4 linked regions of the Anolis sagrei genome follow. The protein of the gene in region 4 purifies or fractionates together with the protein of the main gene of each other region. This does not show direct contact. Links are inferred from orthologs where the notes say so. Each region holds a gene or a part of one and is shown on either strand. Other genes may lie near its edges.

Region 1 (7,428 bases), on a different chromosome or scaffold from region 4:
ATTATTATTATTATTATTACTACTACTACTACTATACCTGCCTCTCCCAAAGTTGGCTTACACCACACAAGTAAAGCAGAACAGATAAAACATAAAGATATTCAAAAGGCATAGAATTTATTATTATTATTGTGCTGTTGAAGGGTTTCATAGCTCGAATCACTGGGTTTTCCTGGCTGTATGGCCGTGTTTCAGAAGCATTCTCTCATGTTTCGCCACATCTGTGGCAGGCATCCTCGGAGATTGTGAGGTTTGTTGGAAACTAAGCAAATGGGGTTTATATATCTCAGAAAACTCACAGCAACCCTATTATCATCATCATCATCCCCACTGATTTTACCTCGGCTTCGTCCGTACGAAAATAAAAGAGGAAGTTGACCACCAGTTTCACCAGGCGCTTCTTCAGGGCTACAAAAAGAGAGACATCCAAATTGAAATATTAAATCAATAATAATATAATTATAATAACTTTATTTTTATATCCCGCTACCATCTCCTTGAAGGGACTCGGGGTGGCTTACGCATGGGACAGAATGTCCACAAGACATAAAAGCAAAAACAATCTATAAAACTACATACATTAAAAGCATTGTAAAATACAACAACCCAAATAAAACACACATTAAAAATATTAAAAAGCATAAAACATTGCATCAAAGCCCGTCAGATCAGGCTCAACAAAAACTAATGAGCAAGCTAACTAAAATGGGCATGAAAAAGATAAAAAGGGGCTGGGCAAGGAATAGTGCAAATAGTATACATAGGAAGTGGATAGATGTAGAACTGTCTAGCAACCTAGGGGCTGGGCCTACATCACTAAGGACTAGTCATTCTTGAATGCTCGCTGGAACATCCAGGCTTTCAGATCCCTACAAAAAGGGGACAGTTTGGGGGCTTGCCTAATCTCCCTGGGAAGGGTCAGGGGGGCACAACCAAGAATGCCCTCCCTCATCTCTACCAGCGTGCTTGTGACGGTGGTGGAAGCGAGAGGAGAGCCTGCACAGCAGATCTTAGAGATCATACCAGTTCTTAGGGGGGATACGGTCACGAAGATAGGAAAGACACTAACTGCTTAAGGCATTGTAGGTCATAATCTGCACTTGAATTGCAACTAGAAACCTATCAGCCGCCAGTGGAGCTGCTTTAATAGGGGCACTGTGTGCTCCCTATAATTAGCTCCAGTTAGAAGCCTGGCTGTCGACCTTTATACCAGCTGCAGTTTCTGAGCAACTGGTACAGCCCTACGTAGTGTGCATTGCAATAATCCAATATTGAAGTAATTAAGCCATGGATCACCGTGGCCAAATCCGGCTTCTCGAGGTATGGTTGCAGCTGGCGCACAAGTTTTAACTGTGTGAAAGTCCTCCTGGCCATCGCCGACACCTGAGCTTCAAGTGTCAGCGCTGAGTCCAAGAGGACCTCCAGACTGCAGACCTGTGCCCTCAGGGGGAGTGTAACCCCGTTGAGCATGGGCTGCCATTTTATACCTCTATCAGCATCATGACTGACCAGGAGGACCCCTGTCTTATCTGGATTAAGCCTCAGTTTGTTGGCCCTTATCCAGACCATCACAGCTGCCAGACACTGGTCCAAGATCTGAGGGGCTTCCTTGGATTTAAATGGAAAGGAGTAGAATTGTGCTTAATTTGCGTACAGATGGCACCAAACGCCAAAACTCTGGATGACCTCTCCCTTTCATGTAGATGTTGAAAAGCATGTGAGATAGAATGCAACCTTGCGAGACCCCACAGGTCAATGTCCAGGGATCCGAACAGGGGTCCCCCAGCATCACCATCTGGGTGCGATCCTCCAGGAAGGAGTGGAGCCACTGCGAAGCAATACGCCCCAAGACCCATTCCAGAGAGCCGACTCAGAGCAAGACCATGGTTGATGGTATCGAAAGCTGCTGAGACATCCAAGAGAACCAGCAGGGAAACAAACACTCCCCCTGTCTAGCTCTCTGCGGACGTCACCCACCAAGGCGACCAAAGCCGTCTCTATACAGTGACCAGGCCTAAAACCAGACTGTGATGGATCAAGATAATCGAGTTGAATGAGTTCTGTTTAATTTTAATACTCCCCATGTTTAATTCTGGTTTAAATGTTTACTTGTTTTTGGCTTTAAAATGTAGACTTCTATTTATTTTATTATACTTTTTGAAACATTGTTGGCTGCTCTGAGAGAGAGAAAAGCGAGATATAAAACTAGAAATATTATTAATATATATTATTGGTAATAATAATGTATAAATAAAAATACTCAAATAAAATAAACCCAGGCCACTCAATGCTGCCGAGCAGGGGTCCCACAACATCACCATCTGGGTGCAATCCTCCAGGAAGGAGTGGAGCTACTGCAAAGCAGTGTCTCTCCCTTTCATGCAGATGTTGAAAAGCATGGGAGATAGAATGGGACCTTGCGGGACCCCACAGTCAATAGACAGGGATCCGAGCAGGGATCCCCCAGCATCACCTTCTGGATGCGATTCTCCATGAAGGAGTGGAGCCACTGCAAAGCAATACCCCCAGGACCCATTCCAGAGAGCCGACCCAGAGTGAGACCATGGTCAATGGTATCGAAAGCTGCTGAGATATCCAAGAGAACCAGCAGGGACACACTCCCCCGTCTAGCTCCCTGAGGAGGTCATCCACCAAGGCGACCAAAGTCGTCTCCATACAGTGACCAGGCCTAAAACCAGACTGTGATGCATCAAGATAATCGGTTTGAATGATCTTCTGTTTAATTATAATACTCCAATGTTTAATTCTGGTTTTAATGTATTGTCGAAGGCTTGTCACACACACAGATAGATATCTACATAAAAACTCCAACCATCACCCAAGTAAAAAAAGAAGCACCATTAAAGCCTTGGCAGACCGTGCAAAAAAGAATCTGCGAACCCCACCTCCTTCAAGATGAACTGAACCACCTCAACTGGGCTCTACAGGCCAATGGAGACTCCACCTCAGACATCAGAAGAGCTGCAAGACCAAGAACAAGCCACAAGAGTAAAGATGAAGATCCACCCAGAGGAAAAGTGTTCTTGCCATACATCAAGGGAACCACTGACCGCATAGGGAAGCTGATGAGGAAACACAACATACAAACAATCTACAGACCCACCAAGAAAATCCAACAAATGCTACGTTCAGCAAAGGACAGAAGGGATTCTCTCACTTCTGCAGGAGTCTACTGTATACCATGCAGCTGTGGACAAGTCTACATAGGGACCACCAAACGCAACGCCCAGACACAAATCAAGGAACATGGAAGGCACTGCAGACTACTTCAACCAGAGAAATCAGCCATAGCAGAGCACCTGATGAACCAACCTGGACACAGCATTTTATTTGAGAACACAGAAATACTGGACCACTGTCACAACCACCATGTCAGACTACACAGAAAAGCCATTGAAATACACAAGCATGTGGACAATTTCAACAGAAAGGAGGAAACTATGAAAATGCACAAAATCTGGCTACCAGTATTAAAAAACTCTAAAATTGCAACAGCACAACAACAGAGAGGAAGCAGGCAGGGACATATAATTACCTCTCAACAAAAGTTTGCTCCAGGTACAGTCAGGCCATTATATGCTAATCAAGGTGGTCAGTTGAAACATTCACACCTAGCTCCAGCAGATAAGAGTCCTTTGTCCCGCCCTGGTCATTCCACAGATATAGAAACCCTTTTTCCTAGTTCCAACAGACCTCACTACCTCTGAGGATGCTTGCCATAGATGCAGGCGAAACGTCAGGAGAGAATGCCTCTAGACCATGGCCGTACAGCCCGAAAAAACCTACAACAACCCTCTGGTTTTAATGTTTACATGTTTTGGCTTTAAAATGTAGACTTCCATTTATTTTATTATATTTTTTGAAACATTGTTGGCTGCTTTGAGAGAGAGAAAAGCGAGATATAAAAACAGAAATACTATTAATAATATATATAATTGGCAACATATAAATAAAAAATACTCAAATAACATAAACACAAGCCACTCAATGCTGCCTAGGCAAATATTCCCAATCCTACATGAAATCTGTAATATTTCTGAGGATTTAAAGGCCACTCAAGTTTCTAGTCCAGAATAGGAAAGGGAAAAGCCTCCCAAAAGGTAGTACTACTTGAGAGGCGTGGCCTGCGGCGTGACGTCACGCGACACCGCCCTCGCGACTCGAATGGGCTGTTTCCCTGAGGGGCGTGGTTTGGACCGTGACGTCACGAGGCTGGTCCCTCCCTGTGCGTCGTGACGCCGCCGCTTGGTCTCTGTTCCCCTCCCCCCTCCTTATTCTCTCTCCTCACTCACGGCTTCCCTTCTTGGGCGCCCGCATGAGCACCTCGGCGGCTTTCTCCGCCGGCTGCCGCGAGAGCGAGAGCAACTCCCGCTCGTTGAACCGCATGGCCGACGCCCCCCTCTCGCGGTAAGAGGCGCTGCAATAGTCCCACTTCCGCTCCCGGCCTCTTCTCGACATCACTTCCGGCGCGCGAGCCTGAGACGTTTTGGCCGGAAGTGGATCCTTGAGCGGCGCGTTTGGCTTTTTCCCGTGCTCTTTCTCTCTCCCAGAGAGGAGAGGAGATTGAAGCGGGGCCGAAGCGGGGTAAGCAATGGCGTCCTGAGGGTCTAGGGAAGGGTTCCAAACCTTTGGCTTCAACCAATGTTGCTCTATATCTTTGCCTGGTTTAATTGCATGTATTGGCCTCTTGAGGGTTTATGCCAGGCATGGGCAAACTTGGGCCTTCCTCCCGGGTGTTTTGGACTTCAACTCCCATAATTCCTAACAGCCTCAGGCCTTTTCCTTTTCCCCCTCAGCCGCCTAATTGTAGTGCTCGCCAAATCAGTTCATGGGAAATCCGATCAAATGCTTTTTCGAGATCAAGGAATACAAAGTTCAGTGGTTTCCAACAAATCAGTACATTATTATTATTATTGTTATGGCCAGAGTTAACTTCACACTTGCACAGCCTCAGCGCGTTCCAGCAGCTTTCCTCCTGCTCAGAAGATTTTTCAGTCTTCTGCTTCCACAGTAGATACTTGAGCACATGCCAGGCCATTATCCAGTTTTTACCATTGTCTTTCCCCCAGTTTAGATGATATTACATACTCACAGACTCACCACAGTACGCACTATCTTGTCCAAGTAGACAGGTTCTTTTATAGTCTTTGACGAATAACAGCACAACATCAAAGGAAGGGGAATATACATTGTACATGGTTTCCTTATATACAATACATTTACAATACATTTACTCCTTGATTGCTTACCAACTAATTGACCCAACCCAAACCCAGGATTGTGTCATAGACAATCACTCTGAGTAGGCAAAAACACATTTCCCAAATGATTCCCCACATACAATCAATACATTCTCAGCATTCCCAACAGAAGCCCATTAACCCATTAGCAGTGCATGACTCAATACATAGTAAAACCTAACAATTATTTTATTATTAACTTTATTTGTACCCCGCTAGCATCTCGCGAAGGACTCGATGCCCCTTACAAAGGCCAAGGCCTCAAAATACAACATAACAATACAAAACCTAAGCAAATTAAAAACAATTAAAGCAATATTAACAACAAGCAATAAACAATACACCAAGACACAATAAAACTGGGCCGGGCCAGAGTAATGGGTACAGAATTAAAAGTGCTGATGTGACAGGTGATATGTAAGGATTATAGGGTAAGTGCAGTGTGCAGTATGCAACAATCTTAATTCTAATAAAGTGCTTCTGGGACTTGGTATTGGAGATTCCTAATCTGGGAAGGCACATCGGAACAGCCAGGTCTTCAAGTTCTTCCTAAAGACTGCCAATGTAGGGGCCTGTCTAAGATCTTTGGGGAGGGTGTTCCAGAGTTGGGGGGCCACCACAGAAAAGGCCCTGTCTTGCGTCCCCACCAAACGCGCCTGCAACGCAGGCGGAATCACGAGCAGGGCCTCTCCGGATGAACGAAGTGAGCTCGTGGGTTCATAAACGGAGATGCGGTCAGGCAGGTAGGATGGTCCCAAACTGTTTAGGGCTTTGTAGGTAAGCACCTGCACCTTAAATTGGGCTCGGAAAATAAACAGCAGCCAGTGGAGCTCCTTGAACAGGAGGGTTGACCTCTCTCTGTAAGCAGCACCAGTTAACATCCTGGCCGCTGCCCGTTGGACCAGTTGGAATTTCCGAGCCGTTTTCAAGGGCAGCCCCACGTAGAGCGCATTACAGTAGTCCAATCTAGAGGTGGCCAAGGCATGGACCACCCCGGCCAGATCAGCCTTTGCGAGGTACGGTCGCAGTTGGCGCACAAGTCTCAATTGTGCAAAAGCCCTCCCGGACACCGCCGACGCCTAAGCCTCAAGCGTAAGCGATGAATCCAAGAGGACTCCCAAACATATAAAAACATAATACAGATTAAAACATTAAAGAATATAAAACACCACAAAAGTAATAAAAACAACATCATTAGCGTCTCATTATTATCAAGCATTGTCCAGTTCCATTGTCAAATCGTTCAATTTCCTGTATTAGCTACTCTGCATTTATAAATGCGTGCTCGAACAGCCATGTTTTAACTTGCCTCCGAAACGTTAAGAGGGAGGGAGCAGATCTAATCTCCCTAGGGAGGGCATTCCATAGCCGAGGGGCCACCGCTAAAAAGGCCCTGTCTCTCGTCCCCGCCAAACATACTTGAGACAAAGGCAGGACCGAGAGCAGGGCCTCCCCAGATGATCTTAAAGTCCTTGATGGTTCGTAAAGAGAGACACGTTCAGACAGGTAAGTTGGGCCAGAACCATTAAGGGCTTTATAGGCCAAAGCCAGCACTTTGAATTGGGCCCGGTAGCAAACCGGCAGCCAGTGGAGCTGGCGCAACAAGGGGGTTGTATGCTCCCTGAGCGCCGCTCCTTTTAGCAACCTGGCTGCTGTTCGTTGGACTAGTTGAAGCTTTCGGACCTTTTTCAAAGGCAACCCCACGTAGAGAGCGTTGCAGTAGTCTATACGGGATGTAACCAGAGCGTGGACTACTGTGGCCAAGTCAGACTTCCCAAGATATGGGCGCAGCTGGCGCACAAGTTTTAACTGTGAAAATGTTCACCTGATCACTGCCGAAACCTGAGGTTCCAGGCTCAGCGATGAATCCAGGATCACTCCAAGCTGCGAACCTGCGTCTTCAGTGGGAGTGTAACCCCATCCAACACAGGCTGAAACCCTATGCCCTGTTTGGCCTTGCGACTGACCAGGAGAACCTCTGTCTTGTCTGGATTCAATTTCTTTTCCCAATGATTTTCCATGAGTAACCGGACAGCATATATTGCATCTATTGTGCCACACTCCCTGACAAAGCCACACAGATTTGGTGTAATGGCTGTGTGTATATATATGTGTGTCTGAATATATAATAGTAAATAATAATAAATTTGGCCACGGTGGTCCACGC
Region 2 (7,167 bases), on a different chromosome or scaffold from region 4:
AAGACATTTTCATCAGGCTTGACTGCTGCTTCTCTCCTTCCTCCCAAACACTGCTGCACAACATTTAATTCGTTGCTTTCATATTGTTATGTAGAATGTTATTTATTTTTTAATTAAATAAGGTACGTTTTCCCAACACAGTTTGTCAGCTGGGTTTAGCTCTGTCGGGGCCACTACAAATGGGTTTTGAATGCATGCAGGTGATGTTCAGCTCTATAACTCTTTTCCACCTGCTACTATGGTCTTGAACTGGTGCTTGGCAGCTGCGATGGTCTGGATGAGGGTGAACAAATTGAAATCGAATCCAGACAAGACAGAGGTCCTCCTGGTCAGTCGCAAGGCCGAAGAGGGCATAGGGTTACAGCTTGTGTGCCAGGCATGTAGCCGGGGGGGGGGGGGCCTTTGGGGGCTTCAGCCCCCCCCCCCCGAAATTCTCATGATGGTCTGCGAAAAGGCCTTACTGGTACATTATTTAAACTGTTATGTTTATTCATATCATGATCTGATCACCATGCTCAATATACAGAGGCGGCCCTATTATTTTTTTATTATTTATTTTATTTGCTTTACTTCTATACCGCCTTTCTCAGCCGAAATGGCGACTCAAGGCGGTTTACATAGTAAAGGTCAACACAACAACAACAAGAAGGCAGTTAAAACACATTATACAAAACATCAGGTCAAAAACAATCATAATCCTAGATATATGCCTCAGCAAACAAATCAGAATCAGAATCCGTAATCATAATCCTTTATACCAATTCCTGTGATCAATTGAACCGTATTACTGTATTTCATTGCATTTTTTAGCCAAACGCTTGTTCGTAAAGCCAAGTCTTGACTTTCCTCCGGAATGCCAGAAGTGAAGGGGCCTGTCTGATGTCCACAGGTAGGGCGTTCCATAGCCGAGGGGCCACCACCGAGAAGGCCCTGTCTCTCGTCCCCGCCAACCGCACCTGCGATGCAGGCGGGACCGAGAGCAGGGCCTCCCCAGACGATCTTAATGTCCTGGGTAATTTTCAACAGTAAGCAAACAGTATTTTGGCACCCCCCCCCCCCCCCCGCCAACCAATCATTGATATATATTTTCTATTTGTCGTGGGAGTTCTGTGTGTCATATTTGGTTCAATTCCATCATTGGTGGAGTTCAGAATGCTCTTTGATTGTAGGTGAACTATACATCCCAGTAACTACACTTGCCACACTTGCTCCCTTGCCTGGCCCGCTTTGGGTCCGGAGGTGTGCCTGAAGACTCCGGCGTGTGCACCAAAAGTCACCTCTTCTCCTGACTTTCTCCTCAGCCATTGGAACCGAGAGAGAGAGAGAGAGAGAGAGAGGTGGAGATGCCCACCTTTCCTAAAGATGCAAAAACAAAGGAGGGAGCGGAGGTGGGAGATACCTCCAGCCGGAGGGGCTCGCTCTCTCTCTCTCTCTCTCTCTTGGTCCCAATGCACGCTGGGGTCTTCAGACACGCCTCCGGACCTGAAGCGGGCCAGGTGCAGCGGCTCCGCCCCTTGGCCCACCCACGGATTGGGAAGAGGAGAGGAAGCGGGTGGAGCGCCGGGGGATCGGGAAAGAGGGCCGGTCATGGGGAAGGGATCAAACGCGGAGAATGACTGAGCGCCGGTTCTGTTCGCGCACCGAGTGGCCGGGTGGAGCAGGAACAAGAGGGATAGGCGAGGCTCAAGGGCCCAGCCCCTTTGGGAAGAGGATCGCCCAGCAGTGAGGCAAGAAAGCCAAGGCTCCCCCAGACTGCTAGGGCTGTTGTGAGCTGAAGGGGCGCTCCTCAAGTGGCAGTCGAGGGGCACTTACAGAGGTGCCTCTGCGCCCCTGGCAAAAAAAAGTGTTCTGCGACCGCTTACTTCGCGTAATGGACGAGCCGCCCCTGCCAATATATCTCATATGCATGGGGGTATTGGGGTAACGATACAAAAGGTTTGCTAGGGTAGACCCTCTTTCACTCAGACCCCCCCCCCCCAATCAAACTCAGCCCCCCCCCCAATCAAAATCCTGGCTACGGGCCTGTTGTGTGCGATACAAGAAGCTCGGCCTGTCATTGAACATCGAGAAAATCAAAGTGCTTTTCCAGCAGTCACCAGGCAATCCCTCTCCAATGCCAGAGATACAGCTTAATGGTGTAACATTAGAAAATGTGGACCATTTCCGCTACCTTGGCAGCCACCCCTCCACAGAGGGCCTTTTCAGTGGTGGTTCCTCGACTCTGGAACTCACTCCTTAAAGACATCAGACAGGCTCCAACTTTGGCAATCTTCAGGAGGAACTTGAAGACGTGACTGTTCCAGTGTGCCTTCCCGGAATAATGATCCCATAGCACTTTGTCCTCCAAAGCACTTTACATTTTCTAAGTCTGCTCGTATGCCCTTTCATAAACACCAGTATCACCTTCCGTTCATGTCCCAGCATATTTCCAATTTTAACTTTACATTTGGCTTCCCCTCTGTTTTTAATTGTGTGTTGTTTTATTGATAATGTTGTTTATTTTATTGTCTATGTTTTTAAATTGCTTTATTGTTGTTTTATTGCTTGTATTGTTGTGTTTGGGCTCGGCCTCATGTAAGTCGCACCGAGTCCCTTGGGGAGATGGTAGCGGGGTACAAATAAAGTTAATAAATAAAAAATAATAAATAAAAAAGCCAATAGGATTTTGACCTGCATCAATAGTATAGTGTTTAGAACCAGGGAAGTCATGTTCCTCATGCTCTATTCTGCCTTGCTTAGACCACACCTGGAATATTGTGTCCAATTCTGGGCACCACAATTGAAGAGAGATGTTGACAAGCTGGAATGTGTCCAGAGGGTGACTCAAATGATCAGGGGTCTGGAGAACAAGCCCTATGAGGAGCGGCTTGAAGGCTGGGCATGTTTAGGCTGAACAAGAGAAGGCAGAAAGGAGACATGATAGCGATATATAGATATGTGAGAGGAAGTCATAGGGAGGAGGGAGCAAACTTGTTTTCTGCTTCCTTGGAGACTAGGACGAGGAACAATGGCTTCAAACTACAAGAAAGGAGATTCCATCTGAACATTAGGAAGAACTTCCTGTGAGAGCCGTTCAACAGTGGAACTCTCTGCCCCGGAGTGTGGTGGAGGCTCCTTCTTTGGAAGCTTTTAAACAGAGGCTGGATGGCCATCTGTCAGGGGTGATTTGAATGCAATATTCCTGCTTCTTGGCAGGGGGTTGGACTGGATGGCCCATGAGGTCTCTTCCAACATGAGGAAGAACTTCCTGACTGTGAGCGCCGTTCAGCAGTGGAACTCTCTGCCCCGGAGTGTGGTGGAGGCTCCTTCTTTGGAAGCTTTTAAACAGAGGCTGGATGGCTATCTGTCAGGGGTGATTTGAATGCAATATTCCTGCTTCTTGGCAGAATGGGGTTGGACTGGATGGCCCATGAGGTCTCTTCCAACATGAGGAAGAACTTCCTGACTGTGAGCGCCGTTCAGCAGTGGAACTCTCTGCCCCGGAGTGTGGTGGCTCCTTCTTTGGAAGCTTTGAAACAGAGGCTGGATGGCCATCTGTCAGGGGTGATTTGAATGCAATATTCCTGCTTCTTGGCAGAATGGGGTTGGACTGGATGGCCCATGAGGTCTCTTCCAACATGAGGAAGAACTTCCTGACTGTGAGCGCCGTTCAGCAGTGGAACTCTCTGCCCCGGAGTGTGGTGGCGGCTCCTTCTTTGGAAGCTTTTAAGCAGAGGTTGGATGGCCATCTGTCAGGGGTGCTTTGTCCTCCTGTTCAAGCAGCTGAGGGGGAAAAGGATGAGGTCTGAGGCTGTTAGGAATGATGGGAGTTGAAGTCCAAAACACTTGGAGGGCCCAACTTGGCCCAGGCCTGGTATAGGCCTAGACCTACTCCTAGGCCCCAATCCTTGATCTTTCCCTGCCCTTCTTTTTCTCCCAACCCCAATTCGACTTTGTTATTCCATTGCAATCCTATCCCAAAATCCCAAAGACCAACACACCCTAAGGCAGCTTCCCTCAACTTCTGTTTACCTATTAGTCTCTACTGCGCATGCGCAGAGTTGAGTTTCCCTCCCCACGGTTTACAAACTCCTCCCGCTCCGTCATTGGCTACGCGGGTTTTGACGTTGTGGCTCCTGATTGGTTCAGAGGAGCGCATCGCGTCATTCTACGGTGGCCGCGCGGTCTCAAGCGGGGAAGGAAAAGCAAGATGGCGTCGGAGGTGCACTCTGAGCCTCCCAAGGCCGGGGAGCTCCCGTTGCCAGGCTACGCGGCTTGGTCGCCCAACGAGCTGCAGGCCAAGCTGGCTGAGATCGGGGCGCCGACGCAGGGTGAGAGGGAGGGCTTTCGGTTGGGCCTCGGGGACTGGAGAGCGGGCGGTGGGGGGTGTAGGCCTTGAATGAGGCCTAGCAGCAGGGGCTTTGGTTGATTTAGTTGTCGTGTCAGGGCAACCAGTCCATTAATTCACCATTATCTTCAAGGCTATACAACTCCTTATCTCGGCCCAGCTGGGCCGGATCAGTCTGGGAACCGAAAGGAGTCTCCACCAGCCACTGCCAAAAGGGACAGAGAGTTTCATCTATGCGGACGATCATGCCATCACCGCTCAAGCAGGGAGCTTTGAAATAGTTAATCAGAAGCTCTCTGAAGCTTTCAGTGCTCTCACTGCTTATTATAGGGAAAACCAGCTGATTCCTAATCTATCTAAAAGGCAGATGTGCTTTTCAACTTAAGAACAGACAAGCATCTCGGCTATATGTATAACTTAACAACTTATACGCATGTTTAGACTTCAGCCCCATTTCCAGTATATTTTATTACGCATATATATGCTGCAACAGGTAGACCAAAATCGTAAAAATATACAAAATACTTCTTATCTCAGCATTTTGAATAAGGTATTGGCAAACTGAATCTATTATATAAGATAATGTATTAATATAATATAATGTATATACATGTCATATTTATAATATTATAATGTAATGCAATATAAGACTAATAATTTATTTATTTGTCGTGTCAGGGCAAACAGACGAAATACAAAATTTGCGGGTTTGGTAGTTGATTAAATGTCCTTTGAGCAGTATCTGGCCCCTTGGAGTGCCTCTGGTGTTGCTGCAAGAAGGTCCTCCATTGTGCATGTGGCAGGGCTCACATTGCATTGCAGCAGGTGGTCAGTGGTTTGCTCCTCTCCACACTCGCATGTCGAGGATTCCACTTTGTGGCCCCATTTCTTGAGGTTGGCTCTGCATCTGGTGGTGCCAGAGCGCAGACTGTTCAGCGCCTTCCAAGACGCCCAGTCTTCTGTGTGCCCGGGGGGGAGTCTCTCATTTGGTATCAGCCATTGGTTTGAGCCTGCCACTTTTGGACTCTCGCTTGCTGAGGTGTTCCAGCGAGTGTCTCTGTAGATCTAAGAAAACTATTTCTTGATTTAAGACGTTGAAGTGTTGGCTGATACCCAAACAAGGGATGAGCTGGAGATGTCACTGCCTTGGTCTTTTCACTATTGGCTGCTACTTCAGGTGGTGCAATACCAGCTAAGCAGTGTAATTTCTCCAGTGGTGTAGGGCGCAGACACCCCGTGATAATGCAGCATGTCTCATTAAGAGCCACATCCACTGTTTTAGTATGGTGAGATGTGTTCCACACTGGGCATGCATAGTCAGCAGCAGAGCAGCACAGCGTAAGGGCAGATGTCTTCACTGTATCTGGTTGTGATCCCCAGGTCGTGCCAGTCAGCTTTCGTATGATGTTGTTTCTAGCACCCACTTTTTGCTTGATGTTCAGGCAGTGCTTCTTGTAGGTCAGAGCACGGTCCAGAGTGACTCCCAGGTATTTGGGTGCGCTGCAATGCTCCAGTGGGATTCCTTCCCAGGTGATCTTCAGAGCTCGGGATGCTTCTCTGTTCTTGAGATGAAAGGCACATGTCTATGTTTTGGATGGGTTGGGGATCAGCTGGTTTTCCCTGTAATAGGCAGTAAGGGCACCTAGAGCTTCGGAAAGCTTCTGTTCTACCATCCCAAAGCTCCCTGCTTAAGCAGTAATGGCATGATCATCAGCATAGATGAAGCTCTCTGTCCCTTCTGGCAGTGGCTGATCATTTGTGTAGATGTTGAACATGGATGGAGCAAGCACGCTCCCCTGAGGCAGGCCGTTCTTCTGTTTCCACCATCTGCTTCTCTGGCCCTGGAACTCAACAAAGAAGCTCCTGTTTTGTAGCAGGTTTCCTATGAGGCGGGAGAGGTGGTCATCCTTTGTGATATTATACATTTTTCTCAGGAGGAGTCAGTGGTGGTTCACAGTATCATAAGCTGCTGACAGGTCTATGAAGACAGCTCCTTTGATCTGCTGCCTTTCAAAGCCATCTTCGATGTGCTGAGTCAAGTTCAGCACTTGCGATGTGCAACTTGCTGAGGTGTTCCTGCAAATATCTCTTTAGATCTTAGGAAGCTATTTCTTGATTTAGGCCTTGCCATGCTGATAGTATGGTATGGGGGTAGTGCAGTCCCTGGGTCCAGCACCTGCCATGCAGGAATGCACACTCCTGGGAGGAAGCCATTGATCCTCAGTTTAGATGAGCCAGATGACTTCTTTGTTTTCTTCTAGGGAGTCGTGAGGAGTTGCTGGATCGGCTGAAGACATACACGCTTCAAGTAAGTCCTTATTTGTTATGGCCAAAAAATTGATGCCTTAGACCTTATTATAATTCTTAATTTGCCCACCATTGTGCTTGGGAATAAGAAAGAGTTACACAATTGATAATATAATGTAATACAATATGTTACTAATAATATTACAGTATAATGTTATAGTACAATGTAATATATAATAATTATATAATATATAATGTAATATAATAATAATAATAACAATATGATATTATAATTATATATTTATATTACAAGTAATATTACTAATAATATTACGATATATTGATATGGTACAATATAGCAGTGTTTAATGCTTATATTGTACTATGCTAATAATGTAATATAATGTATGTAATATATACCTTGTAAGCCGCTCTGAGTCCCCTTTGGGGTAAGAAAGGCGGCTTATAAATGTCATAAATAAATAAATAAATGCACTGACCTTTTTTGAGGTGAGATGGAATCTCCTTGTCTCCTGTGCTATTCTAATAATATAATATATATATACATATAATATTTATAATATTGTAATGTA
Region 3 (7,653 bases), on a different chromosome or scaffold from region 4:
AAACGGCTTCCAACATGTTAAAAATACAACACAAAATCAACAATGATCAAAGACACAGATATAAAACAAAATAAGCAATCAGTAAAACAAATAAGCATTTAAAAACAATATACATATGGGATATATCTTGGAGATGAGACCTAAGATGAAGAGCAGGAGATATGGGATATATCTTTCTAAGTTTGTTATTTTGAGTTGTTCTATAAGTACACCTGATGTTGTTTATTTTATTGCTTATGATTTGATCTGTTACATCAGTATTGAAAGTTTGCCAATTTTCTGTTGTAAACAGCCCTGAGTCCCCTCAGGGAGATAGGGCAGTATAGAAATAAAGTTTATTATCATTATTCTCTTGGAGATAGGACCCAAGGATGGTGATCACACAATCCTTGGTGTCTACTCACTGTTCTGGAGATCTTCCTTTTCCTTCTCCAACCGTCCCACTCGTCGTAAGCTCTCCTTGTGCTTCTTCTCGAATGACTGCTCAGCCTCCTTCCTCTGTTGCTCTTGGGCTTCCTTCTCCTCCTGAAGGCGGACCTCCAAGTCCTCCACCTGCTTCTGGGCAGCTTCCAGCTCTCCCTTCAAAGGGCCCACCAACTCTGTCAGTGTCCGGAGGTGCTTGCCAATCCGGGAAATGTCCTTGCTCTGCTCGGCGGCCCAATAGTCAATGTCCACAACGGACAGGGCTCTGCCCCCAAGGGTCTCCTCTGCGGTCTTGAGGAACTTGCCCAGAGATGATGGGAGGTTTTGGCCTTCGCAGAGGCCGACAATGGCACGGCCCACTTCCTGGAGGCTGGTCTGGGCCTTCTCGCAGGCTTCACAAGGCACTACGGGCGGCTCAGTAGTTAGAGAAGGGATACAGTTGGGGAAGTGTCCATACATTTGCCCACTGGCAATTGACGAGGTCAATGAAGAATCCTGCATGCCCAGTATGGTAACATCTGACTCCGATTGTTGGGAGCAAGAGCTTCTGGTCCGTTTGCTCTCTGCTTGTTCTCTGCTAGAAACATCCTCTTTGTTGCCTTTTTTCTTGGTTAAGAGATAAAAGCAAGATATAAATAAGTAGGAGGAAGAGAAGGAGAGGAGGGGGGAGAGAAATAAAAGAAGGAGGAGGAGGAGATTGAAGAGAGGAGGAGGACAAGAAGAAAAGGAGAAGCAAACGAAGGGAAAGGAGAAGGGAAAAGAACGAAAGTAAGTAGAAGGAGGACAAGATGGTGGAGGAGGAGGAGTAGAAAGAACAGGAGAAGGAGACAAAAAAGGAAGAGAAGGAGGAGAGGGAAGAGGAGGAGGAAAAAGAAGAAGAAGGAGAAGGAGGACAAGGTGGTGGAGGAGGAGGAGTAGAAAGAAAAGGAGAAGGAGACAAAAAAGGAAGAGAAGGAGGAGAGGGAAGAGGAGGAGGAAAAAGAAGAAGAAGGAGAAGGAGGACAAGGTGGAGAAGGAGTAGATGGAAAAGGAAGAGAGGGAAGAGGAGATAGAGGAAAAAGAAGAAGGAAAAGGAGTAGAAGGAGGACTAGGTGGAGAAGAGGAGTAGACAGAAAAGGAAGTGAAGAAGGAGAGGGAAGAGGAGATGGAGGGGGAAAAGCAGGAGGAGGAAAGGGAGAGAGAAAAGGAAAGGGAGGAAGAGAAGGAAAAGATGAAGAGGGAGAAGAGGTATAATTGGCTTCTGAGGTCTGTATGCAAAGCATGTCCCTACCTCCATCACCAGCTGCTGGTAGAGATTCCCCAGTTTCACCATGCTGTCCCAGTATGTCCTCACCGCCAATCCAACAGACATGGAAGGCCCCATTGCTCCGGATGGGGAGGAAGGAGCTCCTTCGCTGATCAGGTTCTCCGCATATTCCGTGAAGCTTTGGAAGAGCAGCAGCAGCCTCAAGGGAGCAGAAAACAAATCCTAGTTATCCTCCTTGGCTTCCAGGTGAGTTCTATCCTTCGGACTGTTCCTCACCTGTCAATGATGAGCTCCAAAAGGAGGACATGGGAGCGCTGGGTGAGTTCAGGATTGTTCTCCGCAAAGCCGTAACGCTCCAGCAAGGAAACCAGGTCCAAGTCGCAGGAGGCCTTATCCGGAAACTTCCACGAAGGACACCGGATGGGTCTGGATCGGGAGAAGACATCAATGACTGTTCCCTGAAGCTCAACGATGTCCCTCTGCAGGCTCTCCATGTTCTTTCAATTGACCAGGAAGGCCACCATCACAAACAATGAGGCATTGATGTTCCTGGAGCAAAAGAAAAGCTTCAAAATGAATTATTATTATTATTATTATTATTATTATCCTATATTTCTCTTTTGATCAAGGCACTAAAGTGACCACCATTATTGTTGTTGTTGTTATTAACTAATACCTTAATTTCTCTCTTCTAATCTTTGGATTGACTCAAAGCAAACACAATAATAATAATTATATTTATATTTATATTTATATTTTATCATGTCATCCGCTACCAGAACATTGTATTACATTCCTAACAGAACAAAACAAACAAACAGATAAAAAAAAACCCCACAAATTTTGCAAACTTGGCAGCTGATTAAATGTCCTTTGACCAGTATCTGGCCACCTGGAGTGCCTGTGGTGTTGCTGCAAGAAGTAACCAATCTTATACACCAATCTTCTCTCTCAATTGAGTCCCAAAGCAGCTAGTCATCATGTTGTCGAAGAGTTTAATGGTCGGAATCACTGGGTTGCTGTGAGCTTTCTGGGCTGTCTGGCCATGTTCCAGAAGCATTATCTCCTGACGTTTTACACCCACATCAATGGCAGGTATAATTAGAGGTTGTGAGGTCTGTTGGAAACTAGGCAAGTGGGGTTTATAGATATACCTGTGGAATAATGTCCAGGGTGGGAGAAAGAACTTTTGTCTGTTTGAGGTAAGTGTAAATGTTGCCATTGGCCAGCTTGATTAGCATTGAATAGCCTTGGAGCTTCAAAGCCTGGCTGCTTCCTGCTTGGGGAATCCTTTTTTGGGAGGTGTTAGCTGGCCCTGATTGATTCCTGTTTGGAATTCCCTAATTTTCTGACGGTTGTTCTTTATTTGTTGTTATGATTTTAGAGTTTTTTTAATACTGGTAGCCAGATTTTGTTCATTTTCATAGTTTCCTCCTTTCTTTTGAAATTGTCCACGTGCTTGCAGATTTCAATGGCTTCTCTATGTAATCTGTCATGGTGGTTGTCTGAGTGGCCCAGCATTGCTGTGTTCTCAAATAATATGCTGTGTCCAGATTGGTTCATCAGGTGCTCTGCTATGGCTGACTTCTCTAGTTGGATTAGTTTGCAGTACCTTTCATCTTCCTTGATTCGTGTCTGGGCAATGCTGTATTTGGTGACCCCTATGTAGACTTGTCCACAGCTGATTGGTATACGGTAGACTCTGGCAGAGGTGAGAGGATCCTTCTTGTTCTTTGCTGAACCTAGCATTTGTTGGATTTTCTTAGTGGGTCTGTAGATTGTTTGTAGATTGTGTTTCTTCATCGGGGCCAGCTAACACCTCCCAACAAAGAATTCCCTCAGGCAGGAAACAGCCAGGCTTTGAAGCTGCAAAGCCATTCAATGCTAATCAAGCTGGCCAATGGCGACATTCACACGTGCTGACAGACAAGAGTTATTTCTCTCACCCCGGACATAATTCCACAGGTATATATATAAACCCTGACAACCTCTGAGCATGCCTGCCATAGATGTGGGCAAAATGTCAGGAGAGAATGCTTCTGGCACATGGCCAGACAGCTCGGAAAACTTACAGCAACCCAGTGATTCCAGCCACAAAAGCCTTCAAACAACACAATAATACAATACTATAATATATAATAGGAATATTGTAATATAGTAATACTAATATATTAACTATAATTGCTACTGATAATATATAATTATAAGATACACTGATTTATTGTATTTTTGTATATTTTAAGTTTTATGTTTTTGAATCTCCATATGGAGAGATATAGAGGGATATAAATCAATAAAATATATAATAACACATTACATTATAAAATATATAATAGAGATATAATTAATCATCATCATCATGTTAACATTCCTGTTTTGTCCAATAGAATAATAACAGTGGGTATTCTGGACTCAGACCCAGCTGCTTTGTCCAATGAAGAGGCCTTCTGAGGGAAGAAGTCCAAAAAGCCTGGAGCCCAAGATTGGGAAAACACAACTCTAGGACTATGTATAGAAATAATATATTCAAGAAATGCTTCGTATTCATGTTTCATCCTTAATTGGCTGAATGGCTCATTTAGAAAACGGCACGCCGTTAACTGTGTGTAGTTACCTACGGAATGCCCGCCTCTTACTGCTAGCAGGCTTCTTCTCGCGTTCTAGGCCTCGGCTGCTGCCATGGCAACGAAGAACGCTTCCCTCGCTCCGCCCCTTTTATTATAGAGAGCATAACATACAATTGATAAAAACTTCCGGAAAGGGGAGTGCATGTACCTAAAGGGGGCGTGGCTATGGTTACCAGGAGGAGGGGGCGTTGAAAGGGGCGTGACTTCCCCGTGCAGCTGGGATTGCAAGGGGAAGGGGAGCGCATGCGCTTAAAGGGGGCGTGACTACGGGTTTCCAGGAGGAGGACGTTTAAAGGGGCGTGGCTATCCCCGCACAGCCCCCTCCTCTTGTGGGCGGGGCTGTTACTGGCTGCGCGCGCACCCGTCGCCATTTTTCTCGGTCCTATCGCAGCTGTTGGCGTCTTTCTTCTCCGCGGTTGTACTCCGGAGCGAAGTGAGAGTCATGCCGGCGGGGCCCGTCCAGGTGATGGCTCCGGCCCAAGCCACGCCGCCCGAGGCCAAACAGGTATTTCTTGCTCGGGAAGAAAACGACTCTTTTCCCCCTTTAACCCACCTCAAGGCAGAGCCGCCATTCCCATGATGCATTGCGGGGCGAGGGGGGCTTTTCCCAGGGCGCTTTGCGCGAGGGACTTGAGGGCCCCCGTGGGATCATATACACACCTGTATTATATATTATACTAGCTTGAAAGGGGCATTGTTTGTCTTTGGATGTTCGGTGGGGTTCAAAGAGATCTCTGAATATGGGTGAACTACAACTCCCAGATTTCAAGGTTAATCACTCCAGAGTCCACCAGTGTACAAAGTTGGCCACGTTGGATCTGTATGCCGAGCCTGGTCCAGATCCGTACTCGGCTGGGTGCAGTGCTCTCTGGATAAAGGTGAACTACAACTCCAAAATATCCAGGTCAAATCCCCCAAAATTATTATTATTAAGTTATTATTAAACTTTATTTGTACCCCGCTAGCATCTCCCGCAGGACTCGATGCGGCTTACAAAGGCCAAGGCCTCAACACAACAAGAACAAAACAATAACAATACCATTTAGAGTAAATTAAAACATAAGCAATAACAAGACAATACATCAATTACAGAATAAAAAACCAGGGCCAGGCCAGTGATGGGTACAGGTTAAAAAGTGCTGGGTGTGGCAGGTGGTATGTTGGATTTCCGGGCAAGTGCAATGCACAGAGAGCCTTAAACTCGAATAAAGTGCTTCTGGGACATAGTGCTGGAGATTATCCTATTCCAGAAAGGCACATCGGAATAGCCAGGTCTTCAGATTCTTCCTGAAGACTGCCAACATGGGTGCTAGTCTAATATCTTTGGGGAGGGTGTTCCAGAGTTGGGGGCAACCACAGAGAAGGCCCTGTCCCTCGTCTCCAGCAAACACGCCTGTGACACAGGTGGGATCGTAAGCAGGGCCTCTCCGGATGAACAAAGGGATCACGTGGGTTCATACACGGAGATGCGGTCACGCAGGTAGGCAGGTCCCAAACCGTTTAGGGCTTTGTAGGTAAGCACCTGCACCTTGAATTGGGTTTGCTAGGTAAACGGCAGCCCAATAGAGCTCCTTAAACAGGAGGGTTGATCTCTCTCTGTAAGGAGCGCCAGTTAACATCCTGGCCGCCGCCCGTTGAACCAGTTGGAATTTCCGAGCCATTTTCAAGGGCAGCTCCACGTAGAGCGCATTACAGTAACTTCTCCAGAAGTACACTGGCAGCAACAACGTGTGTCAACCAGTGTAACAGCAAGGCAAAACATTCACATGGAACAATCAGAAAGAAAGATCAGCGTTTAAATGGCAGAAGTACAAAGATGTGGCAAGGAAGCACCAAGCGAAGAGCCAGAAGCCTCCTTTTCTTCTTCCTACTTCCCTCATTCCAGCCCCCCTCCCTCTCTCCATGAAGCCAAACAAACCAGGAATAAAAACCACACAAAACCAACTAACCACAAATTCCTCAAAGTGGACATGAGCACAAGGCATGAAGGCTGCTCTCTTGAAGCCCTGGCACTTGTTCTTAACTGGAAACATTGCTTGTGTGTCAAAGCAAAACCAGGGCCGAGCAACAATTCTTAATTCTAAATGCTCCTAAATACTCCTAAGTTGGGGCACTCTTAAGTAGAGATTCCACTGTATATATTTTTGGCTGGAGTTAAAAATGTGTGTGTTCTGACTTACAAACAAATTCAGCTTCAGAACAAACATACGGAACTGTTTTGTGTGTAACTTGGCGGCTGCCTGTTATAGCATTGTTGATGTTCACAATGTGGATGGTATTGATATAACTTATTATTGTCATTATTATTATCTAGTTCAGGAAATGCAGGTTCTTGTCCACTGGAGGGCCATGTCCTTGGCTGTTTGTTATCATTGTGATTAATCTTGCTGTTATTAATTCTTCACATTGCTGGAACTGGAGGCTGCTTCACCCGCAGTTAAATGTGTTTAGAATAACAGAAGAAGATACACAGGCTTAGAGACAAATCCTTAAAAAGAGTCTTGGCCTGGGATTGAGGAAAATGCATGTGCCCACTCACCCACCCCCTGCCATGAATTTCATGGATGGCTAGAAGTTATTATGTTGTTGATGATTATGATGATTCAGTTCTGTCCCACCATTTTGTTATGTTAATTCTCATTGCAGCCAGAAGATGAGCCAAAAGAGGAGGCAGTGCCCGCCAAGCCGGTGGTGGGCATCATCTACCCTCCGCCAGAGGTCAGGAACATTGTGGACAAGACAGCCAGCTTTGTGGCCAGGTGAGTGTTAGTCTTCTGTTTCATAGGAATCAATAAAGAGGACAGTTGTGGCTATGTCTGGCTATATGAAATTATATATATATGATATTAAAATATTCTATTTAAATGCACCATATTTAAATATATGACCTATAAGTGACAAGTATGTAGGTATGAAGGGGCAGTTTTAATCTCAGTGGGGAGGGAGTTCCAAAGTTTTATACAAATAAATAGAAAATATTTTATATTGTATGTTTTGATGCTATTGCAAACCGCCTTGAGTCCGTTGGAGAAAGACAATCTGGAAATTTCCTAAATAATAAGTTAATAAATGTTATTTAAATACAATAACAATAAATGACACATTTCTAGTATATATAGAGTTTAAGTACGTGTTTTTATAGTCATTTATGTAATTTTTTATTTTCAATGTTGTGCTTACAGGAGAAGTGGTATGAAGGGAGTGGTCTCAAATGTTGTGTATATTTTTGAAAACCAAGTGAAAACATTAATAGAAAAATAGATATATTGGGAGAAAAATTAAGTGAATAATAATAATCATAATAATGGGTGGGGAAAAGGGGGTTACTTGCTCTGCATTTGGGTGAGATGTCTGACT
Region 4 (7,078 bases):
TTGTGGTGCCCAGAACTGGACACAATATTCCAGATGTGGTCTAACCAAAACAGAATAGAGGGGTAGCATTACTTCCCTAGATCTAGACACTATGCTCCTATTGATGCAGGCCAAAATCCCATTGGCTTTTTTTGCCGCCACATCACATTGTTGGCTCATGTTTAACTTGTTGTCCACGAGGACTCCAAGATCTTTTTCACACGTACTGCTCTCGAGCCAGGCATTGTCCCCCATTCTGTATCTTTGCATTTCGTTTTTCCTGCCAAAGTGGAGTATCTTGCATTTGTCACTGTTGAACTTCATTTTGTTAGTTTTGGCCCATCTCTCTAATCTGTCAAGATCGGTTTGAATCCTGCTCCTGTCCTCTGGAGTATTGGCTATCCCTCCCAATTTGGTGTTGTCTGCAAACTTGATGATCCTGCCTTCTAGCCCTTCATCTAAGTCATTAATAAAGATGTTGAACAGGACCGGGCCCAGGACGGAACCCTGCAGAACTCCGCTCGTCACTTCTTTCCAGGATGAAGAGGAAGCATTGGTGAGTACCCTCTGGGTTCGTCCATTTAACCAATTACAGATCCACCTCACTGTAGTTTTACCTAGCCCACATTGGACTAGTTTCCTTGCCAGAAGGTCATGGAAGGCTGACTTGCACATCTCAGAGACATTAACATATTGCCCTGTGAATAAGTGGATCGCCTCAAGGAAAGGCTCCATGGGAAATGCTTCTATGATTCCCAACCCCCAGACTGGTATTTTCCCTGAATGTTTAAGAGCCATTTAAAAGGGATTTTCTTCACTACTAAATCTGTCTGTGTACTCTCTTGAGATTGATTCATAAACTCTATACAACTTCATTCATAATTCTTACATGGTAATATGTTCATAGATAAAAATATAACTGTGTTCACTGATGATGTGTAGGGAGATGTGTGCTTATTTGATCCAGTGCATAAGTCCTGGATGAAATTAACACCTGTTAAATAATATGTCTGTTTGTGTACCTGTTAAATAATATGTCTGTTTATGTCTGGTTTCCCATTCATTGTGAAGCTAAAACCATCATGTAGGGTTTTTCCAACTTATTGATAGGATTCAGAGTTATCTGCTCCTGGGGATGGGCACACAGATTGCCAGTGTATATCTTCCATTGAGCCGTTACATCAACATAACTGACCATTGTGTTCACAGGACACTGTTTATAAACTGGACTGAGGAATTAACCCGATATATTAACAATTTTTCCATATTTTCACACCTCATTCTGAAGGTCTACATATCCCTTGGGGGCGGACCTTTAAAAGGACCCACACTTCAAACCAATGAATGACAGCTCCTTAAATTTCCGGCCACCAGGAGGACCAATCACTGGACTGTGGGTGTTATGAATAGTTGTCAAAAGTGTACAAATGTTCTATATTTTGGATTGGGATAGGTCAGTTCTTTGAGTGCAGACTCTATTCTGACCTCCAAAAGAACAAACTTCTTGTTGCCTAGTTTGTTTTAATCTGACCTTCGGAGTAGTGAAGTGTGCCAAATTCCAAACACCAATCTTTAGTGGATAGCTGAAATCACTCATCATATCCACATTATATCTTTTTAACTATCATGGCTTAAAGAATCCTGTGACATGCACTTTGATGATTACTTCATATTTTCTTATTTATCTCAGGATTATGCACCAGAGCTTAATTCCTACTACTCATTACGAAACTATAAACTCTTGGAGTTCCATTGGATGGAGATTTTAAGCTTTTGTATTAAATTTCAACAGGTACAATATGTACAATATCATGGTTGCATAGTAGAGCAACAAGTCACAATCTAAAATCTTACTTTATCCCGATGATAATTTTTCAGGTTAAAAAACCACCCTGGTTTTTACATATGAATTTTAATTGGTTAACCAAATTCCCATGCTAAGTCTATGGGAAGCAAATAAACGAGCCCCTCCAGAACTGCAAGTACTATTTCAAGCAAATTTTGAGTTTACTCACATGCCATTACTTGCAGCAATAGCCAATATAGTGGAAACAACCAAGTTGGGACACCCATAAATGGCAAGCAAAGCCTAAGGCATTGGCCGGGGGGGGGGGGGCAGGATTTGAAGGCCCTCTTGAAGGAGACCAGACCTGGTGAGGGTGGTTGACAGGGGAGGAGCTGCAGGCTATTTAAGGCTGCTCTGTCCCCCTGCTGTGCTCTTTGCCACAGCTTGAGGTAGGAGGCAGGTTCCTAATAGACCTTTTTCCCCTTGCTCCCCCCCTCCCCACTTTCCAGATACTACGATTCCCATTGCTATGCCTATGTATAGATTGTTTTCAACTCTTAAATGTTTGAAAACATACATAAGCAGCAAATGGGGCAAGAAAGATTGATTGGACTTGCACTCTTGAGTGTCCACCAAAGTCTATCAATGGAGCCTGATTTCTGTCAAAGTGTATTGACACACTTTTCAAATGTTTCCAGCAGACGTAGTATTCTTTTGTAACTATACACTACCAATTAACAGTCATTTTCCGTTATTTTAAGACTCGAAACTTTGTAACTAAAATAGAAAATTGATTTAATTAAATCTATATAAAATGTACTATAGAATGAACTATACTATTTAAATCATTTTATGTTATGGAACTATTCTTTGTGATTCACTAAAAAAAATTCAACCCCCCTCCCAATTTTTAATGGTCCCTCAAACTGGGTAACGTTTAGGGTTTAGGTTAGAGTACAGGTTAGGGTAAGGTTTAGGGTTTGGGTTAGAGTATGGGTTAGGGTTTGGGTTAGCATACAGGTTAGGGTAAGGTTTAGGGTTTGGGTTAGCATACAGGTTAGGGTTAGAGTATGGGTTAGGGCAAGGTTTGGGTTAGCATACGGGTTAGGGTAAGGTTTAGGGTTTGGTTAGAGTATGGGTTAGGGTAAGGTTTAGGGTTTGGGTTAGCATATGGGTTAGGGTTAGAGTACGGGTTAGGGCAAGGTTTGGGGTTTGGGTTAGAGTACGGGTTAGGGTAAGGTTTAGGGTTTAGGCTAGAGTACGGGTTAAGGTAAGGTTTAGGGTTTAGGCTAGAGTACGGGTTAAGGTAAGGTTTAGGGTTTGGGTTAGAGTATGGTTTAGGGTTTGGGTTAGCATACGGATCAGGGTAAGGTTTAGGGTTTAGGCTACAGTATGGGTTAGGGTAAGGTTTAGGGTTTGGGTCAGTATAAGGATTAGGGTTTAGGTTAGAGTACGGGTTAGGGTAAGGTTTAGGGTTTGGGTTAGAGTAAAGTTTAGGTTAGTGTACGGGTTAGGGTAAGGGGTTAGGCTTAGGGTACAGTTCAGGGTTAAAGTAAGGGTTAGGGTTTCTCTATTAAAGAACTCTTACATTCCCCTTCTATATTATCTATCTCCGGCCTGGCTTACATTAGCTAAGTTCCTCTGGCATAAGCAGCGCTCCTAAAGAACGATATGGCACCTAAACCTTACCCTAACCCGTACTCTAACCTAAACGCTCGGAGCTTCCGGACTCAGCTATCATACTATTTCCAAGGTTTTCCCCTGACTTTTAGTCTAGTCGTGTCCAACTCTGGGGGTTGGTGCTCATCTCCATTTCTAAGCCGAAGAGCCGGCACTGTCCATAGACTCCTCCAAGATCGTGTGGCCACCATGATTGTATAGTGTGCAGTTACCTTCCCGCCGGAGCAATACCTATTGATCTACTCATATTTGCATGTTTTCGAACTGCTAGGTGGGCAGAAGCTGGGGCTTATGCTGCTCCCCGAATTCGAACCTGCGAATTCATCAGCTCAGCGGTTTAACGCCACCGGGGGTTCCAAGGGGAAGGGGGGGCAGAAAACAGGGAAAGAAGGAAGGAAGGGGAAGGATAAAAGAAAGAAGGGGGAACTTTTATGGTTCAGAAGCGGAAGCAAGGGAAGCACGCGCGCTCTTGTATACAAACACACACCACGTGACAGCGCGGATCTCTCTCTCTCTCTCTCTCTCATCCCGCCTCCCTTCGGCCACCTCTCGCGAGAACGCTCATTTCCGGCGACGGGGGGAGAGGGGCGGGGTTTACGTGCGTCGTCGCTAAGGCGCCCTTCAGGAAAGGGAAGCGCTCCTACGTAACGTAACGTAGCGTGCCGTGCGCAGGCAGGCAGGCCAGGCAGCTTTCCGGCGTCGAGAGGCCCTCCTCCGCGCCTGAGGCCAAGGTGAGCGAAAGCGGGGGGCGGCCTGGCCGGGTTTCCACCGGCCTGTTGTGCCGCCAAGGTCGTCCGGTCCGGGCCTGAAAATCCCCCTCCTTCCTCGCAGTTCCCTCCCTCCCTCGCTCTCGGCCTTCCTTTGTGAGAGGCGCCTCAGCTGCTTCTCCTTGGCCTGCAGGCCCTTGCGCGCCTCCTTTCTTGCATTCTTAATTTTTTCTTTCCCTCCTGAGATATATATATATATATCCCAATCCTGATTCTTCCTTTCCGTAGGATGTACTGCCTTTATCGGGCATCACCAGTGTTACAATCATACAGGAAGAGGGCGGGAAAAAAAGGAGGACGTGAGAGTTACAGGCCGACATTTTGTCAAACTGTGTTGTTGTTGTTGCCGCTAGACCATCTTAGCAGACAAAAACAATATCTTTTTGTGATTTCTAACATATCGTTATTATTATTATTCTCTTACATGGTTTTTATCACTCTTGAGTCAAAAGATTGCATGGCATAGCCTGAAACCATCTTACTTTCTTTCCACCCCAAATCATTGTTGTGAACGTTGTTTATTAATATTAACCAGCTACGGTCTCTTATTTCCCAAGGAACAGTTTATCCCTCTTCTACACTGCCATATAATCCAGATTATGAAAGATAGTTATACCCTTTATCTGATTTGAAGAGAGTTCTCTACTGCCATATTATCCAGTTCAAAACTGATAATGTGGGGCCCCTTCCACACAGCCATATAACCCAGAATATCAAAGCAGATAATCCACATTATCTGCTTTGAACTGGATTATATGAGTCTACACTGCCATACAATCCAGTTCAAAGCAGGTAATCTGGATATTACAATGTAGAAGGGGCCTTAGAATAGGTCTGAGGTTGTAAAGCAGGGGTCTCAAACTAAGGCCCGGGGGCCAGATGCAGCCCTCCAAGATCATTTACCTGGCCCTTGCTCAGGGTCAACCTAAGTCTGAAACGACTTGAAAGCACACAACAACAAGAACGGAAAAAATGATTTTAGTGATGAGACACTGATGACTTGTGTTGTATGTTTTTTATTGTTTTATTGCCTTTATATGGTTTATATTATATGTAATGTTTTTAGCTGTGTTTTATGTTATTTGGGGGCATTGACTGCCAACTGTAAACCACCTCGAGTCGCCTTCGGGCTGAGAGGGATGGTATATAAATATGTTAAACAAACAAACAGATAAATACATCTCAGCACCCAAAAGTATTATTTATTTATTTATTTACTTCGCTTATATACCGCAATTCTTAGCCCAGGGGCGACTCACTGCAGTGTACAACATAGAAAAACAAGTGCAAAATACAAGACATAATGTAAAATAATCCACAATTCTTCATTATCAAAAACATCCTCATCAAAAACATCAACATTACTACAAAAGCCATTCCGTGTCGTCTCATCGTCAAACCCACAATCCAGTATCATTTTCCGATGTTCCATTCCTATGGTCAAATTACCAGTCATTGCACTTCCCACACTCCACATTGAAATACTAATAATTTTATATTTGTTAAAATTGTTCTTCATTTTAATTATTGTATTGTTTTTAAGTGGCTTTTTTTGCACTACAAATAAGATATGTGCAGTGTGCATAGGAATTCATTTAAAAAATTTTCAAATTATAATCCAGCCCTCCCAACAGTTTGAAGGACTGTGACCTGGCCTCTGTTTAAAAAGTTTGAGGACCCCTGTTGTAAAGTGAGACATTGACACAGCTTTCAAGACTATCATTGGAATACCACTTTCATTGCTGTTTTTCAACGTACTGTCTCCAAATGTCAGCCCAGATCGATGCAACAATCAGGAGTGTTTATTATTTTTGATTGATATGCAAGTTGCTACCCTTCCTAAAAATGGAACAAAAACTATGGTAGTGCACAGACTGGTAACTTGAAGTTGGACTTCTATAATGCACTGTGCATTAGGCTACCTCAGTATCAACTTTGGAAACCCCAATTAGTTCAAAATATGGCAGTCAGATAGGTTACAGGGACATCTAGGTGTGATCTTATCACAGCTATATTAAAATCACTCCAGTTGATTTCTGGGCAAAGTACAAAGTGTTGTCCCACACAATAATAGTAATTGTAAAACAATTTTAGAATATTTATGTCATAGATTGTTTTATTTTATGTGTTTGTTATTTGTACTGTTTTTAAAGTGCTGTGAGCCATTTTGGGTCTCATTCAGTGAGAAAAGCAGAATACAAATAAAATATTATTATTATTACTACTACTACTGTATAGCATAACATCATATTGTGAAAAAATGTTTTTGAAGACCATGTGAGAAGTGCAACCTCTATGTAAGGATGTGATCTAAATATTATGCAGGAACAGTTAGATATCTCTTCCCTGTGTTAATAATGTTGAGGGATTGTGTGCATGGTTCTAGTGTGGTTAACAAGCTAATAGCCATATCGTATCCTGGTATGTCAAGAGCTTTTTACAGTGCATCTACATTGTATAATTAACACAACTTGATACTACTTTGATTACCATGGCTCAATACTATGGAATCCCAAGAATTGTAGTTGTACAAGGGCTTTCTCCTCTCCCAAAGAGTGCTGGTGCCTCAGTGAACTAAAACTAAAGTGGTGTCAAGCGGAATTAATTCTACAGCATAGATCATGTAAAATTAATTCCCTCAGTATCCATAGACTCAACTATCCATGGCTTGAACATTTTCCAGGGGAGGGGATAAAAAAGCAAACCTTTGTTTCTATTTATTTTATCTGTACTTTACTTTTCTCCCAAAATGAGACTTGTCAGGCCTGTCACTAGTAACTAATACAGTCCTGAAACTTTGGATTATGTCTGGATATTAAGTTTTTAAAGACAAATTATGGCTTGGGTGTATACCTCAATTTACTCA

The links.
Region 1: the proteins of SMNDC1 (region 4) and SF3A2 purify together in Homo sapiens (affinity purification with mass spectrometry; 4 studies listed by BioGRID and IntAct, with this or other methods). This does not show direct contact. The link is inferred for Anolis sagrei from reciprocal best matches to the Homo sapiens genes SMNDC1 and SF3A2.
Region 2: the proteins of SMNDC1 (region 4) and SF3B2 purify together in Homo sapiens (affinity purification with mass spectrometry; 3 studies listed by BioGRID and IntAct, with this or other methods). This does not show direct contact. The link is inferred for Anolis sagrei from reciprocal best matches to the Homo sapiens genes SMNDC1 and SF3B2.
Region 3: the proteins of SMNDC1 (region 4) and SF3A1 purify together in Homo sapiens (affinity purification with mass spectrometry; 3 studies listed by BioGRID and IntAct, with this or other methods). This does not show direct contact. The link is inferred for Anolis sagrei from reciprocal best matches to the Homo sapiens genes SMNDC1 and SF3A1.

The regions. Positions count from the first base shown.
Region 1 is NC_090034.1:51,589,719-51,597,146, forward strand, and holds the start of SF3A2 (splicing factor 3A subunit 2), read left to right. Parts: upstream 1-4,479; 5' UTR 4,480-4,605; intron 4,606-7,428. Other genes in the region: PLEKHJ1 (pleckstrin homology domain-containing family J member 1), read right to left, coding at 341-408, 4,314-4,479. UniProt on the Homo sapiens protein: Component of the 17S U2 SnRNP complex of the spliceosome, a large ribonucleoprotein complex that removes introns from transcribed pre-mRNAs.
Region 2 is NC_090032.1:17,942,176-17,949,342, forward strand, and holds the start of SF3B2 (splicing factor 3B subunit 2), read left to right. Parts: upstream 1-4,150; 5' UTR 4,151-4,189; coding exon 4,190-4,310; intron 4,311-6,588; coding exon 6,589-6,635; intron 6,636-7,167. UniProt on the Homo sapiens protein: Component of the 17S U2 SnRNP complex of the spliceosome, a large ribonucleoprotein complex that removes introns from transcribed pre-mRNAs.
Region 3 is NC_090034.1:48,544,907-48,552,559, forward strand, and holds the start of SF3A1 (splicing factor 3A subunit 1), read left to right. Parts: upstream 1-4,638; 5' UTR 4,639-4,738; coding exon 4,739-4,801; intron 4,802-6,942; coding exon 6,943-7,055; intron 7,056-7,653. Other genes in the region: CCDC157 (coiled-coil domain-containing protein 157), read right to left, coding at 405-1,029, 1,694-1,868, 1,946-2,163. UniProt on the Homo sapiens protein: Component of the 17S U2 SnRNP complex of the spliceosome, a large ribonucleoprotein complex that removes introns from transcribed pre-mRNAs.
Region 4 is NC_090023.1:209,886,367-209,893,444, forward strand, and holds the start of SMNDC1 (survival of motor neuron-related-splicing factor 30), read left to right. Parts: upstream 1-4,067; 5' UTR 4,068-4,176; intron 4,177-7,078. UniProt on the Homo sapiens protein: Involved in spliceosome assembly.